Linked DNA regions of Macaca fascicularis. The protein of the gene in region 2 purifies or fractionates together with the protein of the main gene of each other region. This does not show direct contact. Links are inferred from orthologs where the notes say so. Each region holds a gene or a part of one and is shown on either strand. Other genes may lie near its edges. The genes, in order: CNNM4, PTP4A2, CNNM2 and RABGGTB.

Region 1 (6,812 bases), on a different chromosome or scaffold from region 2:
CCACCTCTGGACATGCCCTCCACTGCCTCCTGGCCTTTGCTCTAAAATCCCTCTCTCCTCTCTTCCCCTCCGGTTTCTGGACTCCATCCAAAGGGGCAGCTCCCTCCGCTCCTCCATACCACCCACTCCAGGCCCTGGCGGCTCCCACCTCACAAGCCTCCCTCGGCCCCAGCCAACTGGCTATGAGCTCTCGGGCCCACGCTCAGTTCTGGTGTCTGTCCACGGCTCCCCAGCTGCAGGGGGCCAGAGTGCAGCACAGACCCTGCCCAACAACTCACCAGAGGGGACCGAGGTCAGGGCCATAGTCCCATAGTAGGAAAAGGCGCCCGTCTCAAACTTCATGTTCTCCTTCCCTGCCTCCACCTCCACCTTCCCCTGAAAACACACAGGGCTGGGGTTAGAGACAGAGTGAGGGAGGAAAGAAAGGATGAGGCAGGATGGGGAGTAAGGAACAAGGGATGGTGGGGCAGGAGGAAGGGCCGGTACTGGAGCCCTGGAGAGCTCAGGGGCCTGACCTGTGGGATTAAGGGAGAGCACAGCCTCTCCTTCATCCTGTCAGGGAGAGCACAGCCACGTGGGGCAGGTGGGGCTCGAGGGCAGGCGGCAGGCTCCCCAGGCCGGGAAGCCATGCACCTCCGCAGCAGGTGGGAAAGAGGGCCCGAGGGGTGCTGCGGTGCCAGGGGGAGCAGGCGGCAGGCCCAGGGCTGAGTGGGCTCACCTGCAGGATGAGGATGAAGTAGTCGGCCGGCTTATTTCGGGTGTACAGGTAATGGCGGGCGTAGTACTTATTATGCTCATCAAACTTGAGTTCCTGAATGACATCTGGGTACTTGAGCAGCCGCAGCAGGATCTTCTCTGATATCAGGGAGGGGCTAAACTGGGGGACCTCTGTAGGAGGACAGAGAGGAGACCTTACACGGGGCTGGCCAGGTGGCCCTAAAGCTCGATCACTGTTGTGCGTCCACCCCAACCACAATAGCCGTGCTGTGATCAGACTCCCTCCCTGCTCGGCCGGCCCTCAGTTCTGTATCTCCCTGGGGAGGGAGCACGCTTGGCTTCTGACTGGATGGACCCGAGGCTGCCTGCCTGCCTGCCCGGGCTTGAACAGTGGCTCCTACAAGAATAGCACGTGACCTTGGGCAAATTATATAACCCGCATCTCAGTTTCCTCATCTGTAATATGGGGGTAAAAGCTTCACAGGGTGGTTGTGAGGGCGAATGGGATAGCACGTGGACAGCGCTTAGTATATGTGACTATAATTATTGCATCAGCATCGATATCCCACAGGAAAAATAATGGAGAGGGAATTACCATCCCTTTAGCAAGTAAGGGGTGGGAAGGAAGATTAATTGGGTGGGGTGGGGGAGGGGGCAGGGAGGGCAGAACAGAACCTGTCACCCAAGTCCCCAACGGAGCTTTGAATCAGGGCGGAAAAGAGAAATGTCTCTGAACTAGAGGTGAATTCCTGCAGGAACCAGCACACGTCTGCAGAGGGGAGGGCTGGAGAGATGAGAGCAGAGCTGGACGCAAGCTCCTCAGAGTGGGTGAGCGCACGAGGGGTTCAGCCGCACCCAGCAGACCTGCAGAAGGGGAAGGATCCCTTCTTCCCATTCCACAAGCCCTGATGGGCCTGGCCAGCCTAGGGGCCCACCTCAGTAGTTATTTTCTTTTTTGTTGTTTTTGAGACAGAATCTTGTTCTGTGGCCCAGGCTGAGTGCAGTGGCGCATTCAGAACTCACTGCAGCTTCAAACTCCTGGGCTCAAGCGGTCCTCCCACCTCAGCCTCCTGAGTAGCTGAGACCACAGGCATGCAACTGTCCCATCCCACAGCCTCCTGAGTAGCTGGGACTACATGAGGGCACCACCCTGCCTGGCTTTTGGATTTTTTGTAGAGATGGGGTCTTGCCATGTTGCTCAGGCTGGTCTCGAACTCCTGGGCTCATGCAATCCTCCTCCCTTGGCCTCCCAAAGTGTTGGGATTACAGGTGTGAGCCATAGTGCTTAGTCATTATTTCCCAAACTATTAACTATAATAACCGGGATGCTTCCTAGAAGTTTGCAGTAGCTGCCCATTAATGGCAAACGAATCGCAGGGAGATCCCCGGGGGTGGAGTAGGCACCTGGCCCCTTCCAGGGGTGGCTGTGTTGTCTCTGCACCCCTCACCTGCTGCAGCCCTCGTCCTATGAGGGGAAAGTAGCCAGAGACCCAGGACTTCTCCCCCTGTGACCGTATTTCCACCAAGACCGGAAGGTCCTCCTCACGCTCCTACCTGTGGCTAGGAAGCGATGAGCAGCCAGGAGGAGCTGCGGGGAGATTTTCACTTTGAGCTCACTGTCCGTATCCTTGAAGGCGGAGAAGTCGCGCTTGTTCTTCTCAGACACCCGCTTCCGGCTTCGGTTGTCAGCTGCCGGACGAAGAGCGTGGAAATGAGAACACAGACCCCAGAGGACTCAGGAAGAGACCCGCCCCGCAGCTCCTGCTCTCCAGCCCCTAGTCCCACGCAGGAGCAGCGGGCTCTGGCTGGCAGGTCCCCAAGGCACAGAGGCCAAGGGTGAAGGTAGCCTCCGGGCAATGCTCTCAGTAACCTGCTCCCTGCTCACCGCGGCCAGTGCAGGGCACCTGGCCACCGGGCCTCGGGATGCTAGGCCTCCTGTGTCCTGCACTATGGCCCTTCCAGCTAGGGACACCAGGCTTCGATCCAAGCAGGAAAGGGGTCCTGAGCCCTGTGGAGGGCTGGACTCACTGTACATGTCGGACTCATCCAGGATCTCCGACTTGATGATCTCCTCGATCACGTCCTCCAGGGTGACCAGGCCCAGGACCTCGTAGAAGGGGTCGCCCTCACCCTCGTTGTTTACCTTCTGCACGATGGCCAGGTGGGACTTCCCTGTGGGCCAAAGAAGCAGGTCAGACAAGAGTCCAGAGGCCAGTCATGAGACTCCCTCAACCAAAACATTAATTCTAGATGTAGGGTCATAGGTCACCAGGATGGGGTCATGGCGGTTTTTCTCTTTTGCAACTTTCCTGACATTTCTACTACAAACGGACATTGCTTTTATGAAAAGGAAAACTAAAAGTAATTTTTAAAAGCATTTCGTTAAGGACTGCTTTTTTGTTTTTCTCTTTTTTTGTGGGGGAAGGACAGGGTCTAGCTCTGTTACCCAGGCTGGAGTGCAGTGGCACAATCATAGCTCACTGCAGCCTCCAACTCCTGGGCTCAAGAGATCCTCCCACCTCAGCCTTCCGAGTAGCTGAGACCACAGGTGTGCTCCACCACGCCCGGCTAACTCTTTTATTTTTTGTAGAAATGGGTCTCACTATGTTGCTCTGCCTGGTCTCAAACTCCTGGCTCAAGCAGTCCTCCCGTCTCAGCCTCCCAAAGTGCTGGGGATACAGGCATAGGCCACCATGCCAGGCCAGGACTACTTGTTTAAATAGGATAAAAATGAGGGCCGGGCATGGTGGTTCAAGCCTATAATCCCAGCACTTTGGGAGGCCGAGGCGGGCGCATCATGAGGTTAGGAGACCGAGACCATCCTGGTTAACATAGTGAAACCCCGTCTCTACTAAAAAAAAAAAAAATACAAAAATTAGCCAGGTGTGGTGGCGGGCACCTGTAGTCCCAGCTACTCGGGAGGCTGAGGCACGAGAATGGCGTGAACCCGGGAGGTGGAGCTTGCAGTGAGCCAATATTGCGTCATTGCACTCCAGCCTGGGTGACAGAGCGAGACTCCATCTCAAAAATAAATAAATAAATAAATAAACAAATAGGATAAAAATGGCAGCACTGGGAGCGGTGGCTCACACCTGTAATCCCAGCGCCTTGCGGGGCTGAAGCAGGCAGATTGCTTGAGGCCAGGAGTTTGAGAGCAGCCTAGACAACATGGTTGTCTCTACTAAAAATACAAAAATTAGCCAGGCAAGGTAGTACACACCTATAGTCCCAGCTACTCGGGAGGCTGAGGCAGGAGAATTGCTTGAACCCAGGAGGCAGAGGTTGCAGCGAGCCAAGATCGCGCCACTGCACTCCAGCCTGGGCAACAGAGCAAGACTCTGTCCCATAAAAAAAAAAAAAAAAAAAAGAAAAAAGAAAAAAAGACCCTGCCTGGTGCCTCTTATCAGGGGCTTCTGGGACTCTTGGGGAGGGGAAAGACCCAAACTGACAAAGGCACAGAGCGGCCAAGCGCTGTGATTAGGTGGGGCAGAGACTACAGTCAGAGAGGGGCCACCCCCTCAACCCAAAGTGAGGGAAGGAGGCTGAGGTGGGACAGGACCCTCCACAGAAACCCTGTGGGGTGGTGGGTCTTCCCAGACCCGTTTTTGAAGGCCACACCCTGCTCTTATGGCCCCAACCCCAGCGAGTGGCAACAGGGGCCAGCCAAGAAGGGCCGGGTCCACAGTCTAGGTGGGATGAATCCTGTGTGCCGTGCCCTACTCGCAGGAGCGCAGGTTTGGAGCAGCCTAGGAAGAAAGGCCCCGGAAATCTGGGAAGGTCAAGTCAGGGTCTTCTGCAGGGCTTCCCCTTCACAGTCCAAGCGCCTCGCTCTGGGGACTAAAGAACTCATCCTAAATGCCCTCGGTGGAGGATGTTTGCCAGGTCTTTCAGGCCACAGAAAATCCCCCAGCCCAAGATGGGCTGTCACAACTTCTAAGGGCCTCTTAGGGAGAACAGAGAGAATGCAAGATCTCATGACTAAAGTAAAAATTCTCACAATACACCCCACGTGATGGGGCCGAGCACTGCGTTGTGAAAGCTTTTCACACACATGCCGGGGCAATGATATATGTATTTCCCACTACAGGTTCTGGTCGAAAAACGTTTAGCGCATTGCCAGACAGAGCCATGGCTGGACTCGATTGAAAATTCCCTAGTATCGGCCGGTCGCCGTGGCTCACGCCTGTAATCCCAGCACTTTGGGAGGCCGAGACGGGCGGATCACGAGGTCAGGAGATCAAGACCATCCTGGCTAACACGGTGAAACCCCGTCTCTACTAAAAAATACAAAAAACTAGCCGGGCGAGGTGGCGGGTGCCTGTAGTCCCAGCTACTCGGGAGGCTGAGGCAGGAGAATGGCATGAACCCGGGAGGCGGAGCTTGCAGTGAGCTGAGATCGTACCACTGCACTCCAGCCTCGGCGACAGAGCCAGACTCTGTCTCAAAAAAAAAAAAGAAAAAAAGAAAATTCCCCAGTATCGGCCGGTTGCTGTGACTCACGCCTGTAATCCCAGCACTTTGGGAGGCCGAGGCAGGCGGATCACGAGGTCAGGAGATCGAGACCATCCTGGCTAACACGGTGAAACCCCGTCTCTACTAAAAATATCAAAAAAAAAAATTAGCCGGGTGTGGTGGTGGGCGCCTGTAGTCCCAGCTACTCTGGAGGCTGAGGCAGGAGAATGGCGTGACCCTGGGAGGCGGAGCCTGCAGTGAGCTGAGATTGCGCCACTGCACTCCCCCTGGGAGACGACGAGAGTCTGCCTCAAAAAAAGAAAAAGAAAAAAGAAAATTCCCCAGTATCTTCCTAGAGATGAGCCAACAAGTTCATGAGATCTGTGAGGCCCTCCAGCAGGGCGGCAGCGGGCCAGGCCAGGACCCCGGGGTCTGTCCCCAGGCCTCTGTACCTGCTGTAGGCTGTCCATACAGGAGTGCCCTCGAGAAAGACAGTGCCTGGAAGGGCCTGGGCATCCAGCTAAACGATGTCACCACATGGGGATGGGAATTAAAGCAAGGCAGCTTTGACAGGCTGAGTATCCCTTATTCCTCACTGGGGAGCAGAAGTGTTTCAGATTTCTGATTATTTTTGGATTTTGGAATATTCACAGAATATACACCATTGAGCACCCCAAATCTGAAAATCTGAACTACACAACGCTCCAGCGAGCTTTTCTTTTGAGCATCATGTTGGTACTCAAAAAGTTTTGGATTTTGGAGCATTTGGGATTTTGGATTTTTGGATTCGGGATGCCCAACCTGTACCCCCTTTCAGATGGGCACCCTCTAAAAAGCCTGGTAATGCCCAGTTATGGCAGAGGATGGGGAAGACAGACAGGCCCTCACACGTATCTGGTTGGTGGCCAGGTAAAAGGGTACAACATTTCAGGGGGCCAGTTGGTCAGGATGTCACAAAATCAAGGGTTCCTAACCTTGGACTTGGAAGGTCCACTTCTAGGAACTTACCCTAGGGAGAGGCAACTTTCACAAAAGACACAAGAGAAGGGGGCTCTTGGCAACATTCTTTTTTTTTTTTTTTTTTTTTTGAGACAGAGTCTCGCTCTGTCGCCCAGGCTGGAGTGCAGTGGCGCAATCTCGGCTCACTGCAAGCTCCGCCTCCCGGGTTCACGCCATCCTCCTGCCTCAGCCTCCTGAGTAGCTGGGACTACAGGCGCCTGCCACCGCGCCCGGCTAATTTTTTGTATTTTTAGTAGAAACGGGGTTTCACCGTGGTCTCGATCTCCTGACCTTGTGATCCGCCCGCCTCGGCCTCCCAAAGTGCTGGGATTACAGGCGTGAGCCACCGCGCCTGGCCGGCAACATTCTTTTTAACAGCCCTAAACCAGAAACAACCTAAAGAAATAGCGGCAGGTCACAGGCACTCAAAAGGGGCCACAGCTACTCAAGGCAGAACATGGCGGAGGTGGATGAATGAAGTGCGGAACGAAATCCAAAATACGCTATTAGTGAAAGAGTAAGTCACAGATCGGAATGCATGGAGCCACCTGCTTGCACAGAAACAAAGCGGGTGTGTAGGCTTCAACTGCCCTGGAAGTGTCCGGAAGCAATAAGAGTAGTCGCCTTTGAGGGTATTTGGAGTT
Region 2 (7,362 bases):
CACCCAAATAAATTAACCAAACTTAGTTTCAGAAAAACTTAAGCTTCATTCTTCCAAGACCAAGAGCAACAGCTAAAAACGTATGCATCTGCTCCCTCTGCATCTTGTTTGTAAATACATTAGTTTTCTAGGCTTCACTGGTTACCAACCCCCACATTACAACAAAAAGGAAAAAGTATATTCAAATCCTGTAAAATAAATCCCTACTAAATTTCAACTTTGTGTCTGAAAATTGTAAAGTGTTCCTTAATTACTGCATAAGGAAATACTACCTTTATTGGACAAAATGAATAAAGTTAATTCTTAAGAAAGATAAATCCAATTTACCTTGTTTGAAATTTTTTTTCAAGTCAACTATATATGGGGCTCTCATACTATGTTTTTTCAAAGCTACACACAAAAGTATTCAAACATTTACTCTTCCTAGTGCTACAAAGTTCAATGATGTTGTAAATGGTTTCTGCCTATAAATTTGGTTTGTTCAAATTAAATATTACTTGACTGACTCACAGAGGGAGTGGCCTGACTTTTGCTGTTCTGAGTCAGAAAATACCCCGTTCAGCAGTTCGAAACTATTTCTCATCTATAAAGGTGTTCGAAAACGCCAGCCTTTTCCAGCTACAAAATCTGTTGCCTTAGTAGAAAGATCTTAGTGGCAATAATACTTCAAATCTGTAGTTCAATTTATAATTAACAAAATGCTTTCACATGTATATTCTCACTTCTTCTGATTTAAGTGTCCCACACAGCTCAACAGAGAAACTTTCATACAGTGGTTAAGCTCTAGTTCACTCTTGGCCCCAATAAATATATTCTCTTTTTTCCAAAAAATAAAACATAAAAGGCTGTTGCATTTCTTTAATCAGACTTCCCTCACGCAGACATATCCCAGATGCCTCATAAAAACTGTCTCAAAGCACACACCCAGAGCCCGAAGAGAGTTTCAAGGCAGCATCTCCTCCCACATAAAAGCCTAGCTTAGGCCCCAAAGAGCCTCCAGTCAGCATCTCCTAAATGATCCCCTTGCCTCCAGCCTTCTCTATTAGTTTCAACAGCTCTCCTAAGTACAAGCTGCTAGGTCATCATGTGGATGAGAAACCTCAATGTAAGATGAGCTATTGAAACAGCAGTATGATGTATTGGAAAAATCAACAGCTTTGGAGTCAAAGACCTGGATTTTTAATCCAGCACTAATTCTTATTATCTGTGTGACCTGGGACAAGTTACTTAACCTTTTAAGTTTCTGTATCTCTTCTTCTCACCACTGTAAATCCATGGGAGCTCATCGCTGTATCCCTAGTGCCGGGCAAACAGAAGTGGTTCAAAATAAGCCAAATGGATGCAAATGAAGAGACCACCTTTCTTGTAGTTGTGAGAATTAAATGAATATAAAAAGCACCTGTAGCACAGTAGGCAATTAACACTAATTAATTCCTTCCCTCACTGAATAGTAACAATACTATTTACTATTTCTTTCTTATTTTTTTGAGAGAGGGTCTCACTGGCTCACTACAGCCTTGACTTCCTGAAATCACAAGTTCCTCTCGCCTCAGCCTCCAGGATAGCTGGAACTACAGGCACATACTACCATGCCTAACTTTTGTATTTTCTGTAGAAATGGAGTCACCACGTTGCCCAGGCTGGTCTTGAACTCCTGGGCTCAATCGATCCTCCTGCCTCAGCCTCCCAAAGTGCTAGGATTACAGGCGTGAGCCACCGCGCCCAGCCGAAAAATATAAATTCTAACTTTTAATTACACATCAATGATTTTGCCTGTAATTCTATTATGTTCACGATCAAAAGGACCACCCTCGCGCCTGTTAATCCCAGCACTTTGGGAGGCCAAGGCAGGTGAATCAGTGGCGGTCAGGAGTTCGAGACCAGCCTGGCCAACAAGGTGAAACCCCGTCTCTACTAAAACTATGAAAATTAGCTGGGTGTGGTGGCGCACACTTGTATTCTCAGCTACTTGGGAGGCTGAGGCGGGAGATTACTTGAACCTGGGAAGCCTGGGCAACAGAGCAAAACTCCATCTCAAAAAAAAAACAACAACAACAAAAGGACCATACTACTTTTTGCTTATACTGAAAGACTACCAACTTCTAAGAGACAATTATTTTTAAGATAACATCATTTTTAATATTATATCAAAGTGTAAAATCCCTATCGAGGTACTACTCTTCATCAAGAATCCCTACTTTTACAACTCAAGAATGGGAAAAGTCCATGACAATAATTAGTCCATTCATTATGAAACTTAAAAATGCCAAGATCAGAATACCAGCAAACAACTTCTCACCATCTTCACCAATACAATGGTGTGCTGGCAAGTGATTCTGAAGCCCTGATAATGTGTCATTCTGCATCCTTAATTTCCTTTTGCACATTCGGCAAGGCATAACTTCACTCACTTCCCTCTGAAACTACTCTGTTACAGAGCATGACAGCAAGTACCATATTCCAACTCAGCAGTGGTTGTAGTTTGGTGACTCCAGACAAACATTTGCTGAATGCCTACAGTGACACTAGAACTGCGGGTCACTGCTAATTTCTTGACAAATTCCAGGAAATAATAAACTAGCCTATAGTTTAATTTACCTAACAATAAAATACTCTTCACCTGAAAAACTAGCAGTACTTTACAAAAGTTTATGCTCCTGAACACTCTACAGGCCAGAGTGTAGGCTCTTGGGCAACAGACAAACTTCTTTTCGTTAGCTCTCAGGGACCCAGACTAGGATAGGATGGCATCCTTGACAAATTTGAAAATTTACTTTGAAGTTATGAAACGTGGGAGAAAAAAAACGTATAGAACAACAACAAAAAAAACACATCACATCTTTTCTGGGGGGGAAAAAAATTAAAATCCCAGAGCCAGAAGATCATAGTGCCACTAGAAGAGACTTATACCCCCTTTCCTCATACTTGAACCTGAGCACCCAGGGACAAGATGCTCCCGGAAAGAACTCCCTAACCCAACACAGCACGGTTCACTATCGCCACACACAAAGACGAAGAGGAAGGGCCTCCAGGATGCCTGCTCACACACTGGACACACGCCGGCACACCCTGCCACACTCCCGCCTCTGCCACGCACCTTCTCACCGACACACACCATGTTCTCCCCCTACACTCGCTCTCTACCACACTCTCAACTCTCTCCTCCCCCACTTCTCATTCATGTACCCCCACCCCTCATGCCCACACGCTCCCCGCACACTCATACCCTCCCCCGCCTGCACCCACACTCCCCCAACATCGACACTGTCCCCCGACCCGCTCCCACTCCCCCCACCTCCTCGCACACTCAGCCCTGTCCCCCACTCACACGCCCTCCCTTCACCAACTCACACTCTCCCCCACGCTCGCACAGCTCTCCCCCTTCCACACACACGAGCCCGCCCCTCGCTCACCCACCCTCGCTCCCCCGCCCCGGCCCAGCCCGGCCCTCCTTCCGGGGACGTGTCTCCGGCCTGTACTAATGGCTGCAGCGCCTCCCGCCCTCCCCTTCCCCGAGGCCCCCGGCGCCGGCGCGGGGGCCGCCCGGGAGGGGCGCACTCACGCTGGCGAGCTGGGGACTGGGCATTGAAGTCCGGCGGCGGCGGGAGCGAGGAGGCGCCTCTCTCCTCAGTCACCTCGGCGGCGGCGGCGGCGGCGGTAGCGGTGGCGGCGGCGGCGACGACTCCCCCCCAGCCTCGGCGCGCGACACCCGGCCCGGCCCGGCGGCGGCGGCGGCGGCGCGTCTCCACGAGTCCGTCTTGCTGCTGCTGCTGCGGTCGCCGCTGCGTCTCCTGCTGCCGCCGCTGCCCCCGCTGCCGCCGCTGCCCTGTGGCGTCGCCTCGCGCCGTGCCCGGCCGCCGCTGCCGCTCCAGCCGCTCCCGGACGGACGACGGTTACAGCCCGGCCGATCGCGCCGCCGCCACCACCGCTGCGCGCGCAGCCGGAACCAGCTCCCGCCGCCGCCGCCGCCCCTCAGGGGTCGCTGCGGGGCGCGGCTCAATGGGCAGCTGACCCGCCCTCCGCGTTCGCTGACTGGCTGGCCGGCCGGCTCGCGGGCGGTTGGGCCCGCCCACCTGCCCCGCGGGGCTCTGACCCACTGCCCTGGGCACCTCCCCCGCTCCTCCTCCTGGTGGTTCGTTCTGCTCCGCACTCCCGGCTACGGAAGGCGAGTCCATGTGACCGGGGAGGGAAAAGCAGAACGTGGCCTGGGGAGTCGTTCGCCCACGCTGCGCCCCGCCCATCCGCACCTGGGCTGGGTCGAGGGCCTGCAGCCGAGGTGTGACCCGCAAGGTCGAAGGGTTCTTTCTCGCTCCTAGGCCGTCAGGCCTGGGGTCAGATCCTGATGGGACAGGGTGGCCACCAAGTCCTGTGCTTGGGGATTTCCAACTCAGAAGTGGGAACCCGGGCAGCTCAGTTCTTGGCTGCCCTTCCTGAGGCCCCAAATAAATGGCGTGTGCATCTTCGTGGAGGATATTAATACGCCACCCCCGGCTCTGCCCACAAGACACACACACATCCTAAGAACTGTCCCTGACAAGCCAAAATTCAGACTTTCAGGATGTAGGATCTTGGGCAAGTGATTCCCTCTCTCCAAGTATTATCAACTATAAAGTGAAAATAATAATCAGCAACCTCATGGGCGCTTTCACGATCGATAATAACGTATGAAAACGCTTGAGAAAGGCCGGGCGCGGTGGCTCATGCCTGTAATCCCAGCACTTTGGGAGGCCGAGGCGGGCGGATCACTAGGTCAGGAGTTCGAGACAAGCCTGGCCAACATAGTGGAACCCTATCTCTACCAAAAATACAAAATTAGCCGGGCATAGTGGTGCGCGCCTGTAATCCCAGCTACTCGGGAGGTTGAGGCAGGAGAATCGCTTGAACCCAGGAGGTGGAGGTTGCAGTGAGCAAAGGTCACGCCACTGCACTCCAACCTGGGCGACAGAGCCGGACTCCGTCTCAAAAAAAAAAAAAGGAAAACAAAACGCTTGAGAAAGAGGAGACCCTGAATTTCAAGGTTTCCGACTTAATGTCACCTTTAACGACGCAGATTATCATAGAGATTCTCAAGTGGAAAGGTTTTTGCCTCTTGCATTTGGAAGCTAGCCAGAAATTCTTTGCCAGATCATGCGTCCTGAGTTTTGGTTTGGAAAATGTGGTCACTAGCGAGCTGGGAGGCTGGTTTGGGCCACGGCCAGATGACAGGCAAAGTGCGGCATTGGGGGCTGGCTTGGGAGGAAGGGAGATGTCTCCCCCTGAGAATTGCGGGTTGGGGAGGGTCTGTTCTTTCTGTCCACTCCTGGGAAGTCTTGCCTGCCCAGAACTGGCTCCTATCTAGGAAGAAATGAAGATGCCCCCGTGGGTGTTTCTCCCCTACCTCACCACCACATCCATGCTCATCCAGCCCTGCGGGGAGAAGCAGTAATCTGTCATCATTAGACCTTCCCCACAAGGTAGACTTGGGGCATTGCTACTGACCAGAAGGCTTCCATTAGAGCTTAGCAGTAAAATGAAAGGTCTTATGACTCAGCCGCATCAAGCCACAGAGCAGAGTCCAGGATGTTCACCACCAGCAGGTGGCCCAGGAGGGGGTATTCTAGGGCAAAGCTGGTTAGCAGGGCTGTGTGGGAGTTGAGAGAGGCCTTGAGGAGCAAGAGGGGCTGCAGATCAGTAGCAAGGCCCCTGGGTGAGGAGCACAGACTGGGCTCACTTGCATTCTGTCTGCCTCCAGCAAGCAGTATTTTCTACTTCCTGGAAACACAGACTGATTTGAAACAAAGAGCTACCTCCTCTGCAAAACTTTTGCTGCGTCTATGAGTTATTGATTCTTCCGATAAAGTTGCAAAACACCTTGTGCAATCCTCTACCATAGCACTTAACATAATACTGTAATTGCCTGTTTTCAGACTCTCCCCCGCTTAGATGGATCTATTTGGGGCAGTCTAGCAGATTGTTTGCTTGTTTGTTTTCATCTAGTAGATTGTTTGACCAAGTAAATGACACTCCCCTCCACCTAGCTCTCCTTCTGGCCCTGAAATAAAATAGTGTAATAACAACATTAACAACATAAGGATAAGAATAATGGCCCCAATAATAGTTACGTTTACCCCCTTTTTTTTTTTTTTTGAGACAGAATCTCACTCTGTCACCCAGGCTGGAGTGCAGTAGTGCGATCTCGGCTCACTGCAAGCTCCACCTCCTGGGTTTACACCATTCTCCTGCCTCAGCCTCCCGAGTGGCTGGGACTACAGGCGCCCGCCACCACACCCGGCTAATTTTTTGTATTTTTAGTAGAGACGGGGTTTTACCGTGTTAGCCAGGATGGTCTCGATCTCCTGACCTCGTGATCAGTCTGCTCAGCCACCAAAAGTGCTGGGATTACAGGCGTGAGCCACTGCACCCAGCCTTTCTTTTTTTTTTTTTTTTAAGACAGGGTCTCACTTTGTCACCCAGGAGGGAATGCAATAGTGCAAACATGGCTCACTGCAGCCTCAACCTCCTAGGCTCAAGCAATCCTCCCACCTCAGCCTCCCAAGTAGGTGGGACCATGGGCCTATGCCACCATGCCCAGCTAATTATTTTTTTATTTTTGTAGAGATGGAGGTCTTGCCATGTTGCCTAGAACTCCTGGGTTCAAGCAATATTCCCACCTTGGCCTCCCAAAGTGTTGGGATTATAGGCATGAACCACTACACCCAGCCATTGTTACCTTTTATTAAGCATCTACTCTTTTCCAAGTCCTGACTGAAATGTTTTCAAATGTTATCAAGGCCCAACACAGTGGCTCATGCCTGTAATCCCAACACTTTGGGAGGCCGAGGCAGGTGGATCACCTGAGGTCAGGAGTTTGAGACCAGCCTGGCCAACATGGTAAAACCCCATCTCTACTAAAAATATAAAAATTAGCCCAGGGTAGTGGTAGGCGTCTATAATCCCAGGTACTCAGGAGGCTAAGGCAGGAGAATCACTTGAACCCAGAAGGCGGAGGTTGCAGTGAGGTGAGATCGCGCCACTTCACTCTAGCCTGGGCAACAAGAGCAAAACTCTATCTCAAAATAAATAAATAATAAAATAAAATCTATTATCAAGTTTATGATTCAAAATTACCCTATTAGGAAGGTACTATTACCCCCATTAAAAAAGAGAATCGGTCAGGCGTGGTGGCTCACACCTGTAATCCCAGCACTTTGGGAGGCCAAGGCAGGCGGATCACGAGGTCAGGAGTTTGAGACCAGCCTGGCCAACATAGTGAAAACCCATCTCTACTAAAAATACAAAAATTAGCCGGAAATGGTGGCACCCGCCTGTAGTCCCAGCTACGTGGGAGGTTGAGGCAGGAGAATCACTTGAACTTGGGAGGCA
Region 3 (7,420 bases), on a different chromosome or scaffold from region 2:
GAAGAAAAAGTCTTCAAACCATTCAACACACCATTATTCAGTAGAGAAAAACAATAGAAGGTTGATTGTTAACATTATGTCATAATTGATTTAGAAAATGAACACACGAAAATCAGGTAAAATGTTTTAACTCAGACATAAAGGCCGGGCGCGGTGGCTCAAGCCTGTAATCCCAGCACTTTGGGAGGCTGAGACGGGCGGATCACAAGGTCAGGAGATGGAGACCATCTTGGCTAACACGGTGAAACCCCGTCTTTACTAAAAAATACAAAAAACTAGCCGGGCGAGGTGGCGGGCGCCTGTAGTCCCAGCTACTCGGGAGGCTGAGGCAGGAGAATGGCGTAAACCCAGGAGGCAGAGCTTGCAGTGAGCTGAGATCCGACCACTGCACTCCAGCCTGGGCGGCAGAGCGAGACTCCGTCTCAAAAAAAAAAAAAAAAAAAGTAACCAAACTAATTTAAAAAAAAAAAAATCCAAGAAAGGGAAGGTGAAAAAAATCAATTATTCCCATAGTTTAAGTAACAAATATCCATTCTGTCCTTTTAAGATCATGGCTTAAATTTCCCATTTGCAACCAACTATCTTTGCCTGCTCTTCCGAATGTGCCACTAGCTTGAATGTATGTCTTTAACTTGGACTATCTTCTTAACCAAATACATCATTCTGGTTAAAGACAAAAATAAAATCTTGTACCTTATTATTTTTCGAGAATTCATGGGGAAATATTAGTAATTCCATTATTTAAAGAATACATTTCAAAAAAATACTAAGTGGTAATTCTGAAGGAAAAAGAGCTCCTCGTGAAAATAAATCCATCAAGAAAAATTGTTCAAGGTCAATCAAGCACAAATTTCAAAATAATACAAATTTTGAAATTTTGAGTAGGGACAGGATTAAGGAGCTGTGAGGTGAAAAACGAAATTCTCAAGGTAAAAAGATACAGAAGTGAAGAAAAGACTTCAGCAAGAAGTACAAACTAGTGTCATCAATTCATGAGTAAATGTGCAAAATTCTAAGTAATAAAAAACTCAAGCAATCACTCACCTGTATCAATATTGGGGAATTTAGCAATAGAAAGACTTTTAGGGGCATTTCCAAACATTCCAACATATCTTTCTGTATTACAGACATTACTGCAAAATGAAAGAAGTTAGATGCTCTAATTAACAACTTAATGGTGAAAGAATGACACCCCCAAAAGAAGCTATGTCACCTAGAGATACTGGACATTTTCTTTTTACTATTTAAGAAACCAGAAGAACCTCCTGCTTTTAAATGCAAATTTACCAATCTTCAAAACACATTCTGCTCTTTTCCTTTGTATAAAAATTACTGCAATGTGGCCGGGCGCGGTGGCTCACGCCTGTAATCCCAACACTTTGGGAGACCGAGGCAGGCGGATCATGAGGTCAGGAGATCGAGACCATCCTGGCTAACATGGTGAAACCCTGTCTCTACTAAAAATATAAAAAATTAGCCGGGCATGGTGGCAGGCGCCTGTAGTCTCAGCTACTTGGGAGGCTGAGGCAGGAGAATGGTGTGAACCTGGGAGGCAGAGCTTGCAGTGAGTGGAGATTGTGCCACCGCATTCCAGCCTGGGCGACGGAGCGAGACTCCGTCTCAAAAAAAAAAAAAAAAAAAAATTACTACAATGAGATCCTGTTCTAAAGAGGGCATCATTCAACCAGAAAAACGGAATTAGGACAACCATATGCTCTTTGAGTATGTTCAGATCATCATATCCAGTGAGCTGTCACTAGGTACATATCACCTTCTTCAGAGGAGAGACTACTACCAGTGATCAAAATTCTATTTGAAGAAGGAAAACTTGGTTTTGAGGACTATTAGGTCACGAAAGTTTACATACACATTTCAGTACCCGCACATGCACTAGCATCATAATAATTCAAAAACTCAGCATCCCTTGGTTTTCAAATAACACTATTTGAAATAGTGGAAACATTTTACTGGAAACATTCAGAACTTCAATAATAATAGTACAAGTTGCTATTTACCTGTTCATTATATGGTCAAGCGAACAAATACCACAATGCAAGAAATGATGTGTTGTATAATTTCTCACCTTGGAACAGTGAGAGTTGACGGAGACATACTTCAGTTTAATGTATCGGATGACCAAGGTGGAAAAAAAGAACACTTAGACTGAAAGAGTCAAGAAATAAATAAGCCCCAATAGAGGGATTCATCCCACTGTTAAAGGTGCAAGCTTTCTGCCAAAATCACACTTGGTTTGGGCAACTGTAACTATTGTCAGATAAACGTAAACAAATAGTGAAGAAGGCTACGGGACATACAGCCTCTTCACAAAAGGCTGGCTAACCGCTAGTCTTTCCAAGTTACATATTAGTAATTTTAATTTAAAACAACAACAACAACAACACTTTTCTAGCTAAGAGAAGTCACATCGAAAATGGGTGATTTTTTTGGCGATACTTAGTTTACCCCGCCCCTTACCCTCAAAGGCAGACCTCAATCTTCCCCGTAAGTTGCCAGGCAAGCAGGAACAGAAGCTATAGAAAATGTACTTCGATCTTTGAAAGGCCAGTGTGGATGTTTAAGGAGAAGGAAAACGACTGCACTGAGTTTACAAAAGCTATTTACATGTTTTCCAAATGCCTGTGATTAAAGTCAACCAAATGGCATGGCATCAGCCAGCCCCTACCTTCACCTACCCACTGAGAACCCAGACAATGAAGGCGGCAGACCCCTCAAGCACAGAGGCCCCACACACGGAACCAAAAAAAAAAAAGTGTCATGCACAGAAATTACACAGCCTGCTTTTTGATAATGGTAAAAAGTAAGTGATGGCAGTCTTGTGCTTTAAAATAACCTAGTAGCACTTACTAGTTCAATCCATCCCCAAATCCACGCCACCCTTTCAACTTTGCAATTAAGAGAGAGAAGGAGAAATCCCGGTCAACTCGCCTTGGGGGGTTGGTCTGAGGGTAGAGGGCTCAAGTAGGGAAGAGGATGGAGAGAGAAAGAGCAAGCCAATGAAAGAGACCAAAATTTCCCACCTTTCTTAAATTCTTCCAGCATAGCGTCCAACTTGGTGTCATTGAAAACAAAGTGCAAGGGGTGGTTATAAAATTTGGTGATGGTTTTCAGGGGAGTACAGTCATCTGGATCCACGAAGGCCAAGTCTTTGACGAACAGCAGGTCCACGATATTGGAGCGCTCCCCTTCAAACACTGGAATGCGGGTGTAGCCGCTCTCCATGATCTCAGACATGGTGTTGAAATCCAGGATGGCTTCGCCAGTGATCATGAAGCAGTCCCGGAGTGGGGTCATCACGTCCTCCACCGTCTTGGTGCGGAGCTCCAGCGCCCCTTGGATGATGTTCAGTTCCTCCTTAACGAGGTCGTTGTAGGGGTCGGTGACCCGGAGCATCTCCAGCAGTTTTTCCCGGTTATAGACGGTGCCTATCTCCTGGCCTAGGACGCAGTCCAGCAGCTTGCTGACCGGGTAGGAAGCGGGGAAGGTCATCATCATGAAAAACTTGGTGAGGAAGATGGTGTTGGCCCCCACAGCCAGGCCGTGGCGGGAGCAGATGGCCTGGGGCACTATCTCCCCGAAGATGACGATGCCGATGGTGGAGACCACCACGGCCACGAGGCCCGAGCCGGCGATGTCGTCGAGCAGGATGGTGAGCGTGGTGTTGACCAGCACGTTGCCCAGCAGCAGTGAGCACAGCAGGTAGTTGCCTTGCCTGCGCACCGGCTCGATGCGCTTGGCGTAATTCTTCTCCTTCTCCGTGCCGCAGTTCTGCACGATGCGCAGCTCCATCGGGTCCAGGGCCATGAGCCCCAGGTTGAGGCCACTGAACATGCCCGACAGGCACAGCAGCAGCGAAATGAAGATCACCTGCAGCCAGAAGGGCAGCAGGAATTTCTTCTCTTCGCCTACGATCATCTTGGTGTCCTCGCCGTCGTGGTAAATCCAGGTGGTCTCGGCCCACGGGGGTGGCGGGAGCCCGGCCACCCCCGAGCCGCCCTTGCCCCCGACGGTGCCACCCGCGGATCCCGAGCCGCCGGCACCCAGGGCGGGCGTGGAGAGCGACGTGCACAGGTAATAGGACTTGCTCTTCTCCATCTTGCGTAGCGGTTTGATCTCGATCTCGATGATGCCCGAGGTGCGGCGGTTGAGAATGATGTGGGGCAAGATGATGATGTCTGAGGTGCGGATGCCGCAGCGCTGGGGGCCGCTGTCCGGCTCCGGCGGCGCGGGGCCCCCCAGCCCGCGCTCCCCCGGGCTGTGGCGCCGCCGCTCGTGTTCGGTGAAGGCGATGCGGGACCACGTCTCGTTGTTGATGTTCTGCCCGTACACCCGCAGCTTGACCCGGGTCCGTTCGCTCACCCGCAGCGCCCCCCCTTCCATGAACGACACGTCGTTCGTGTCCTCCAGCCGCAGCCCGATGATCACCGTCTCCTCGTTCTCGCCCACCGCTGCGCAGCCGCCCGCGCCGCAGCAGCAGCTCAGCAGGAGCAGCGGCAGCAGCCGCCCCGCAGCCGCCTGCAGGACCCCCCGGCCGCGGGCGCTGAGGCTGCGGCGCGCCGCCATCTTCCAAGTGGGCAGTGCGGCGGCTGCCTGCCCGCCCGCCATCTTTACTTTGGGTTCACAAGCGCCACAGCCAATCATAGGGTGGCTGCTCCAGCTGCGGCTTCATCCTTTCCACCCGGCGGCGCGAGCGCAGGTACCTGCCCCTGGGCGAGACTGCAACTGAGCGTCCGCGGCCAGTGCTCAGCAGTTCGCCTCCCTGACTGACACTGACTCGACCTCGGCCAGCTGAGGAACCCCGAGGCTCGCGGGAGGGGACAGAGGGAGGGAGAGGAGCGCCGGCTGCTCCCGCGAGAGGCAGGCCCACTGGCCAATCACAAGCGGGCGCCCGCCCTCCCAGCCAGGGGGCTGGAATGGGGGCGTGACCGTGTGCCGTTCCGCGAACCAATGGTAAGGTAAATGGGTGGGGCGATGAGAGCCACCGTCCCCCTCTGCACGCCAAGTTTCCAACTGAAAGGCGCGTGACTCTTGTGTATGTGCGAGGGGAGGGGGCGTGGCCAGCTGGGACTCGAGAGCCAGTCAAAGATGAGAGTTGTAGGAAAGGGGCGTGGCCTCCGTCCTGCTGCCAATGGGAAGGAGCCGTCCCCGGGGCCCGCGCTCCCCGGGGGACCCTGTAGTAGATCCGGGAGCCTGGACCGGCCGGGCTTGGACTAAAGCCCTGCGGCGCAAGGCGGCAGGTTCCCGATGCACTGGCTTGCTGGCTCTGCAGTTGTCAGTTCGTGGGCAGAAAGCCGCAGCGCCCTCCTGCCCCGGGGGCCCGAGAAGCCAACTAGAGGCGGCTTGGGATGCACACAGCCTAAAAAGCCGGGGCACCGGCCGCTGTCCCCAACTCTACGTGCGCGGCGCTCCGCTGGGGTAAGCGGCGTCGGTGGCCCCGGCACAGCTGCCGACCAGCAGTCCTCGCGCCTCAAGACTCCTAGGGTACGCGCTCTCTGCGGCTCGCGATCACATGGCGCCACCTGCGGGCCGCAGGAGCGCCCTGCAACGCTTTCCAGGTCCGCGGCATACCCCGAAAGGTGTACAGAAAGTTACGGATGGCGCGGTCAGAGGGACAGTTCCCCAAATTTGCTAGTCATAGAACCCCTACATATTATTACTAAAAGTATATACTTCCTAGACCCTTTTCCATATTTACAGAGTGGGAAGGGCCCCGAATCTGTATTCCCAACAGGAACCCAGGCAAGTTAAGGAAATGGGAGGGCGGCAAGCATCCTATCCTAAGCAGACCCGCAGAGGCTCATTCTTAATCACACTGGCCAAACTCTGCTAGGGTCATAGGTCACTCAAGAGCAAAAAGTTCTGGAAACCTAGCTCCCCAGTACTCCCAGCGTCACCTGGAGGTGACGAGGTAGCAAAGTAGCTGTCAAATTGATCTTTTCCTTGAAACTTAAAACATTAAAAATGTTTAATGTTTCTCTACCTCTTTTGTATTCTACAAGCACATTCCGGCCCCCCCCCCCCCCCCCGCCGCTTTTATAAATGCGTCAAACGTCTCTGATTAATTTCTGGTATGAGTAATTTCTGGAATGATTGCAGTGGCCTCCTAACTGATCTTCCCTCTTCGACACCTGCTCCTTTCCCTTCTTAACCCAGCAGCAAGTGATCTTGTCCATGAGATTCTGTATCTCTCTTGGCTGAAACGCCTCCACTGGCTTCCCATCTCATCCTAGTAGGCTCAAAGGTCTGCTACCTCTCGTTACTTCTCGGACCTCATCACCTGCTGTTCTCCTAGTGGAAGGAGACAGATAATAAGCCAAATTAATTTCTCTCCAAGCTGTTTCTCCATCACTCCAGGGATTTTCCCCTGCGAGACTTTGCACTTGCTGTTTGTTTCCTGGGCTTAAGATGTCAGCATAGCCTTTTTCACCTCCTTTAGTGCTTTGCTCAAAAGCCATCTGATTTTAAACTTGTGGAAAACACTCCCTCTATGCCGCATCTACTTTATTTTTCTTCAAAGCAAAGATCGCTTTCTAATACACTATGTAAATTATTGATTTGGTTTGTTATCTGTCTCCTTCCACTAGAACTTAAGCTCCCTGAGGGCAGAAAGTGTGTCTGTTTGTTCACTGCTGTATCACAAGGGCCTAGAATAGTAGATATATAGATATAGATATGTCATATACATATGTATTATATTTATATATATATATATATATTTTTTTTTTTTTTTTTTTTTTTGAGAGACAGTCTCACTCTGTCACCCAGGCTGGAGTGCAGTGGCACGATCTCAGTTAACTGCAACCTCCGCCTCCTAGGTTCAAGGGATTCTCTCCTGCCTCAGCTTCCCTAGTAGCTAGGACTACAGGCATGCACCACTATGCCCAGCTAATTTTTGTATTTTCGGTAGAGATGGGGTTTCACTCTATATTGGCTAGGCTGGTCTCAAACTCCTGGCCTCAGGTGATCCACCCACTTGGGCCTCCCAAAGTGCTGGGATTACAGGCGTGAGCCACCATGCCTGGCCCTAGATATTCTTTATTCTTTTCAAAAAAACAAAAAACAAGGTCTCACTCTGTCATCCAGGCTGGAGTACAGTGGCACAGTCATGGCTCACTGCAGTCTCCACTTCCTGGGCTCAGCCTCCCAAGTAGCTAGGACTACCAGCACACGCCACCACATCTGCCTAATTTTCTTTTAATTTTTAGTAGAGACAGGGTTTTGCCATGTTTCCAGGCTGGTCTCAAACTTCTTGCCTCAAGAGATCCTCCTTCCTTGGCCTCCCAAAGTGCTGGGATTACATGTATGAGCCACCATGCCCAGCCAATGATAGATATTCAAAACAATATATGTAGAAGGTTAAATAAGTGAAAGTATTTATTCTGATTATTTTAAACAATGCCCT
Region 4 (7,563 bases), about 44 Mb from region 2:
AATCCAACTTACAAGGGATGTGAAGGACTTCTTCAAGGAGAACTACAACGACTGCTCAACGAAATAAAAGACACAAACAAATGGAAGAACATTCCATGCTCATGGATAGGAAGAATCAATATTGTGAAAATGGCCATACTGCCCAAGGTAATTTATAGATTCAATGCCATCCCCATCAAGCTACCAATGATTTTCTTCACAGAATTGGAAAAAAAATACTGTAAAGTTCATATGGAACTAAAAAAGAGCCCACATTGCCAAGACAATCCAAAGCCAAAAGAACAAAGCTGGAGGCATCACGCTACCTGACTTCAAACTATACTACAAGGCTACAGTAACCAAAACAGTATGGTACTAGTACCAAAACAGAGATACAGACCAATGGAACAGAACAGAGGCTTCAGAAATAACACCACACATCTACAACCATCTGATCTTTGACAAACCTGACAAAAACAAGACGTGAGGAAAGGATTCCCTATTTAATAAATGGTGTTGGGAAAACTGGCTAGCCGTATGTAGAAAGCTGAAACTGGATATCTTCCTTATACCTTATATAAAAATTAATTCAAGATGGATTAAAGACTTAAATGTTAGACCTAAACCCATAAAAACACTAGAAGAAAACCTAGGCAATACCATTCAGGACATATGCATGGGCAAGGACTTCATGACTAAAATACCAAAAGCAATGGCAACAAAAGCCAAAATAGACAAATGGGATCTAATTAAACTAAAGAGCTTCTGCACAGCAAAACAAACTACCATCAGAGTGAACAGGCAACTTACGGAATAGGAGAAAATTTTTGCAATCTACCCATCTGACAAAGGGCTAATATCCAGAATCTACAAAGAACTTAAATTTACAAGAAAAAAAAAATGCCATCAAAAATTGGGCAAAGTATATGTACAGACACTTCTCAGAAGAAGATATTTATGCAGCCAACCGACACGTGAAAAAATGCTCATCATCACTGGTCATTAGAGAAATGCACATCAAAACCACAATGGGATACCATCTGACACCAGTTAGAATGCCAATCATTAAAAAGTCAGGAAACAACAGATGCTGGAGAGGATGTGGAGAAATAGGAACACTTTTACACTGTTGGTGGGAGTGCAAAGTAGTTCAACCACTGTGGAAGACAGTGTGGCAATTCCTCAAGGATCTAGAACTAGAAATGGCATTTGACGCAGTGATCCCATTACAGGGCATATACCCAATAGATTATAAATCAAGCTACTATAAAGACACATGCACACATATGTTTATTGTGGCACTATTCCCAATAGCAAAGAATTGGATCCAACCCAAATGTCCACCAATGATAGACTGGATTAAGTAAATGTGGCACATATACACCATGGAATACTATACAGCCATAAAAAGGATGAGTTCATGTCCTTTGCAGGGGCATGGATGAAGCTGGAAACCATCATTCTGAGCAATGTATCACAAGAATAGAAAACCAAACACCACATATTCTCACTCATAGGTGGGAACTGAACAATGAGAACACTTGGACACAGGGCGGGGAACATCACACACTGGGGCCTGTCATGGGGTGGGGGGCAGGAGGAGGGATAGCATTAGGAGAAATACCTAATGTAAATGATGAGTTAATGAGTGCAGCAATCCAACCTGGCACATGTATCCCCACGTAACAAACCTTCACAGTGTGCACATGTACCCTTAGAACTTAAAGTGCAATTTAAAAAAAAAAGTAACTTCCAATATTTTTACTATTAGCACTCTCTGAAGAAGTGTTTGTGGTGGTCGTGGTGGTGGGGGGAGGGTGGTCTGTGTTTGTGGGGGGGGGGGCGGGTATAGGGCTGGACCTTGAGATGGACAAGACAAACAGGAAGGAAATGTGAACATTTCATTAATATTCATTTTAAAAAGATTCATTGAACACTTACTATGTGCAAACAGGCACTCTACTAATTAACAGCCATTTCAGATTTTCAGAGTGCAAAGGGCCTCAAGAACAAATTATTTATTTTTATTTTTTTGAGACAGGGTCTTGTTCTGTCTCACACCCTGCAGTGTAGTGGCATGATCACCGCTCACTGTAGCCTCCACCCCCCACTCCAGAGCTCAAGTAATTCTCTCACCTCAGCCTCCACAGTAGCTGAAACCACAGGCTTGGGCAACCACGTCTGGCTCATATTTTTATTAATTGTAGAGACCGGGGTCTTGCAACATTGCCCAGGCTGGTGTGGATCTCCTGAAACTGCCTTTGCAAAATTATAGCTGAGGAAACTATGGCAGTGAAAGAAATCAGACCTAACCGACTCCATTTTGCTTCTAACTTTTAAGCTGTCCTTGTTCATTCCTGAGCCTAGGCTGAACCAACTTAGGAAGGAATTCAGTTTATTGTTTGACTCTGAAACAAAATTGTTAATATCCCTTTCCCAAAAAAACTGCTTGCTTGCCTGGGGACCAGTCTGCCTTTGCAGGACTAACAGATTAGCTACAAGATTAGAAATTACAGTTTAGAGGTCATGCAGCCTCTGGCTCCAAGTGTCTGAATCTCCCCAGATTGCTCCTGGGGATAACATCACTATTGTAAAATCTAAGATAAGTGCTTGACATATTTTGCAGACCCTGCTTTCCATGGATCAGCTGAAACCACCCAGATTGGTAATTTGGCCCAATCAGTTCTGCCATCCTACCCAGGAACAGAAAACAGCAAGAAAAACTCACTTCTACCCACTATGAGTCCATCTTTAACCTGACCCATCAGCACTCCCTACTTCCCAAGCCCCTACTCGCCAAATTATCTTTAAAAACTCTGATGACTAGTAGGGGAGACTGAGTAAGAATAAAACTCCAGTCTCCTGCACAGCAGGCTCTGCATGAATTACTCTTTCTCCATTGCAATTCCCCTGTCTTGATAAATGGGCTCCCCGACAGCAGCAGGCAGAGTGAACCCCAATATTGGGTGGTTACACTTCTAGGCTCAAGCAATCCTGCTGTCCGGCTTCCCAAAGTGCTGGGATTACAGGCGTGAGCCACCACGTCCAACAGGAACAAATGATTTCTTAAAAGCAACTCAAATATTTAAATATTATTTAAAACTGTTTCTGGACAAATCGGAGGGACTTTGGGACAAGAATATGGTCGCGGGACTTTGAACGCAGGCAGTGAAGACACCTATGAGCCATCAGTGGGGTCCTACGGCAGCCGTGGATCTATTCTGCCTTGCAGGCGAAAGTGTGGTCAGCTATATCGGAGCGCCATGGGGGCCTGAGTGGCGCATCTGCGCAGGCGCCGGGCTCCTAAGTATACCCAGGAACTGACCCTGCTCTCTCTTTTCCCTGTTAGACATGGTAAGTGTGAGTCAACCGCAGCTGTCCTGATGGGTTGGTAGCAGACAGGGTAGGGTAGGGTAGGGTTGAGTAGGGTTAAGCACACTGGTCACCTTAGGATTGGTTTCCTGGTGCTGGAGAATGATTAAGACACAGGCCTTGAAGATTTTTTGAGTGTGAAATATTACTCAGCATTTTTTGCAGACCTCGCGGGCAATGCCGCTTCTGATTTTATCCAGGCCTTCTGTAGGGAGGGCCTGTTAGAGTTGAGCAGCCCGATTTCTTAAACCCTCTAAAAAGCTGGGGCTGATTGGTGGCTTTTTTTTTTTTTTTTTGGAGGGGGGATGTCAAAAATTTCTTTAAAATCGTTAGTGATGTGGTCTCGCTTTAAGATTTTTAGTGGGATCAGAGGAAAATTCGGTACTTAATCACTTCCGGTAATCTTCATGACCTATTATTATGACTACTGTGTACTCTCAATGAGGAAGATAAAGATACGAAAAGAACTAGAGCCACATCACATGGGGACTTATGCAAATACAGAGACTCGGATTAAAGGTGGAGAAGATGGAGCTAAAGGAACTACTTATTTAATACATTTGAACAACTTTTGGGGTATTTAGAAGGTGCTTTGAAACCTGCATTTGATAAGCAAAAATTCGCTTGCAAATTAAGGGCCAGTTAGATAAAAAAATATGTATATATGCTCTCTGCCACATGTAAACCGTAAATTGTCCTGAAATGATAAGCTTTGATATTCTATGGTGTTTATTTTTTACTTACCTTTTTGAATGAAAAGTGAACAACAAGCAATGCTGGTGGTAATTTTTTGGGTCAATGATGAGCTGGCATGTATTCTGAATCTAAAGTTGATTATTAATACTTTAGCTCTAGAATTACTCTGAGACCTGAAAATTACCTGAATCGTGACTAAGATGGAGCTCGAATGACTTAAGTTCTTTTTTGTTAGATAGAATTTTTGTTTGTTTGTTTTGTTTTTGAGTCAGGGTCTCCCGTCGCCCAGGATGGAGTGCAGTAGTACAACCTCAGTTCACTGCAGCCTTAATTTCCTGGCCTCAAGCGATCTTCTACCTCAGCCTCCCTAGTTACAATTTTTAAATGGAACATTTTCCTATTACAAGATTAAACGAAGTGAAAATTGAGATGTATGTTGAATCTGTGCTGTGGGGCAGAAGAACATTGTAGAGGTAAACATTGATAGATTACTGCTTTTTTATTTTGAAAGGGCACTCCACAGAAGGATGTTATTATCAAGTCAGATGCACCAGACACCCTATTATTGGAGAAACATGCAGATTATATCGCATCCTATGGCTCAAAGAAAGATGATTATGTATGTATGATTTTATGTTGGAAAGTTTATTTTAAAGAAGTGTGACAGTCATAAGCGGTGATACAGTATTTATATTTTATGTCTTAAAATGGCATCCAACTCCATGCAGAGAACTGAGGATTTCCTGTGCCTTTGAACTTCAGTTAAGTGTGCTTTGGACGTCTGAGATTGTGGGCTTATTAGAATCGCAGTATTCACCTATACTGAGAGGGCTTGCCAAAGTAGATAAGGGTTTGAGGTACAAAACGGGTTTCCCTTTTTGTAGTTAGAAGTAATACTTTCAAGGTCAATGATGTTTTGGCATGTATTATCTGAATCTATTGCTGATGTGTAATAACACTTTAGCTCTAGAATTACTCTGAGACCTTGAAAAGGTTTTACCTTAAATTTTTAAATTTCAAGGAAAACTCTCTGGGACGATCTGAGCAAAAAGTAGTAAACAACTTAGTTACAAGTAAATGTTTTTCCCTGTAGTATCCAAACTCAGTTGTCTTAAGCTTATCTACCTATTTGTGGGATGTATGTATTAATTTTTTACTTAAGTGTTAGGTTCCCATAACCTTGAAAATACTCTAGTAGCAACGTTGAAAATACTCTAGTAGCAATCATGGAGTTAAGGCCATATGGATGGGGCTGGACTCGTTTCTGCCTTTATCTGCTATCTATGCCCTGAATTTGGGTTAGTAGCAAATTAAGATGTACCACCTGTTAAAAAAAACTTTTTTTCCTTTTGGGAGGTATAACCTCACTTTGTTGCCCAGACTGGAGGACAGTGGTGCGATCTGGGTTCACTGCAACCTCCACCTCCTGGGCTTAAGTCAGCCACCTGAATAGCTGGGATTACAGGCGCATTCTACCACGCCCAGCTAGTTTTTGTATTTTTGGTAGAGACAGAGTTTTGCTATGTTGACCAGAGTGGTCTCAAACTCCTGACCTCAAGTGATCTGTCTGCCCCAGCTTCCCAAAGTGCTGGGATTACAGGCAGGAGCCACCACCCAGCCACAAAACTTCTTAAAATGTAATGCATTGTTGAGTGTGGGAAAAATTTGTTTCTGGAATCCTAATACTAATTTTCATCTATCATTGATTAGCCACTGTTTTATCTGGGCGTAGACATCTTTAGAATGTTTACGGCATTTTGATTTTTCATGAAGTTATATAATTTCCTAATAGATAGTAAGTTTTGTACAGAGTCCACATTAAAATAGATGTCCGATAAATATGGTATAGGTACTCGGAAAGAAATACTGTCCCTGAACTTCACTGATGAAAAAGGTAGATGCTTTTCTGTCTTTGGCTCATGGGAGAAACTAAAGCCCTGTTTGTATTGTCAGCCATAGATGAACTAATCCTGTGCTTCTCAGATAATTGTTTTTTTTGTGATTAATAGTTGTGTCTGAAGATGGCCTCTAACGTTGAGCGGCACAAATTTTAAACTCAATACTGATTAGTGCCATTAAGGTCAGGAGAGGTAAAAATAGCAGCATGGCTAATAAGTTACCTTTGTGTTTGATCTCTTTATAACCTGTTTTCAGTTCAAATTGACACATTTAAGAATTGTGTATTATTTTAGGAATACTGTATGTCTGAGTATTTAAGAATGAGTGGCATCTATTGGGGTCTGACAGTAATGGATCTCATGGGACAACTTCATCGCATGAATAGAGAAGAGATTCTGGCATTTATTAAGTCTTGCCAACACGAATGTGGTGGAATAAGTGCTAGTATCGGACATGATCCTCATCTTTTATACACTCTTAGTGCTGTCCAGGTAAATACTAATTAAAATTGCAATGATCTTGATAGTGTGTTCTCTTACTTCAGAGTTGGAAATTGAAACTATTAGGATTTGGTCAAAAAGTTTTGTTACAAGTGAAGCTGTCCTACAAGGTCAATGATGTAATGGCATGTATTAGCTGAATCCAAAGTTGATGTGAGTTTCTAAAATTACACTGAGACCTTGCAGGGTAAAATTTTTATCTTCAGTATGTGTAAATACTGTTAAATAGCTAAGTGGATCTGTTTGATTTTGGTATTAGTGAACATCTACCTGGTTTAAAGTCTTTCTGGTGCTGGGTGCTGAGATGGGAAGATCAGGACTTTGTGTGTATGTGAGTTAGTACATTTGAGTATCTTGGAATGCCAAGTTAAAGTTTATATGTAGAAAAATTATACTTTAAAGATTTGAGTTTTGATAATATCTGTAATTTTATTGAATAATAGGAGAGTCTGCATATTTGAGAAAAGGCTATATACAGAGACAAAAGGAGCGCTTGGCAACTTAAAAAGAGTTGAGCATAAGATTAGAATAAACCTGAAAGGGGTATTTACCTAATACTTGTCTTTATTGCAGATTCTTACACTGTATGACAGTATTAATGTTATCGACGTAAATAAAGTTGTGGAATATGTTAAAGGTCTACAGAAAGAAGATGGTTCTTTTGCTGGAGATATTTGGGGTAATGTCAGATTTAGTCCATTCTACCCAAAATACCAATATTAAAGTGTACTGGTTTTGCTAGTAACCAGTTTATAAGTTTTTCATCTTTTCAGGTCCCACTAAGCAGCTGGTCTAACTGGAGTTAATGGTCTGCTGGAACTTCCAGCATGCACTGTGGTAGTTATATCAGCATACAGGAGCACTGGAACAGAGGGGGCCAGTCTAAAAGATAAGGTAGGTGGAATTTTTTTTCCCCAATATTTGGTGGCTTTGTAAAGTTTTTTAAAAACTACTTGCTGGAAAGGGAAAAAAATTTTAAAAAAACTTTACAAACTTGCTGAATATTTGAGTGGAGGGAGGGAATAGAATTGTATTTGATAAATGTAGATAATCTCTGCTTTAGGGATGAACACAGTGCAGGCCAGAGAGACCAGCTGCTTCATGGGATGTGAAAAAT

Evidence for each region.
Region 1: the proteins of PTP4A2 (region 2) and CNNM4 purify together in Homo sapiens (affinity purification with mass spectrometry; 6 studies listed by BioGRID and IntAct, counting the BioPlex papers as one, with this or other methods). This does not show direct contact. The link is inferred for Macaca fascicularis from reciprocal best matches to the Homo sapiens genes PTP4A2 and CNNM4.
Region 3: the proteins of PTP4A2 (region 2) and CNNM2 purify together in Homo sapiens (affinity purification with mass spectrometry; 4 studies listed by BioGRID and IntAct, counting the BioPlex papers as one, with this or other methods). This does not show direct contact. The link is inferred for Macaca fascicularis from reciprocal best matches to the Homo sapiens genes PTP4A2 and CNNM2.
Region 4: the proteins of PTP4A2 (region 2) and RABGGTB purify together in Homo sapiens (affinity purification with mass spectrometry; 3 studies listed by BioGRID and IntAct, counting the BioPlex papers as one, with this or other methods). This does not show direct contact. The link is inferred for Macaca fascicularis from reciprocal best matches to the Homo sapiens genes PTP4A2 and RABGGTB.

Annotation. Positions count from the first base shown.
Region 1 is NC_088387.1:1,803,764-1,810,575, reverse strand, and holds part of CNNM4 (metal transporter CNNM4), read right to left. Parts: intron 2,890-6,812; coding exon 2,746-2,889; intron 2,407-2,745; coding exon 2,272-2,406; intron 889-2,271; coding exon 719-888; intron 376-718; coding exon 279-375; intron 1-278. UniProt on the Homo sapiens protein: Probable metal transporter. The interaction with the metal ion chaperone COX11 suggests that it may play a role in sensory neuron functions. May play a role in biomineralization and retinal function.
Region 2 is NC_088375.1:203,092,880-203,100,241, reverse strand, and holds the start of PTP4A2 (protein tyrosine phosphatase type IVA 2), read right to left. Parts: upstream 3,933-7,362; 5' UTR 3,587-3,932; coding exon of another isoform or gene 3,563-3,586; intron 3,381-3,562; exon of another isoform or gene 1,233-3,380; intron 1-1,232. Other genes in the region: uncharacterized protein, read right to left, coding at 3,563-3,586.
Region 3 is NC_088383.1:111,947,959-111,955,378, reverse strand, and holds the start of CNNM2 (metal transporter CNNM2), read right to left. Parts: upstream 4,838-7,420; 5' UTR 4,660-4,837; coding exon 3,039-4,659; intron 1-3,038.
Region 4 is NC_088375.1:158,879,061-158,886,623, reverse strand, and holds the start of RABGGTB (geranylgeranyl transferase type-2 subunit beta), read left to right. Parts: upstream 1-3,259; 5' UTR 3,260-3,330; coding exon 3,331-3,333; intron 3,334-4,144; exon of another isoform or gene 4,145-4,223; intron 4,224-4,558; coding exon 4,559-4,666; intron 4,667-4,950; exon of another isoform or gene 4,951-5,034; intron 5,035-6,239; coding exon 6,240-6,437; intron 6,438-6,555; exon of another isoform or gene 6,556-6,628; intron 6,629-7,019; coding exon 7,020-7,125; intron 7,126-7,563. UniProt on the Homo sapiens protein: Catalyzes the transfer of a geranylgeranyl moiety from geranylgeranyl diphosphate to both cysteines of Rab proteins with the C-terminal sequence -XXCC, -XCXC and -CCXX, such as RAB1A, RAB3A, RAB5A and RAB7A.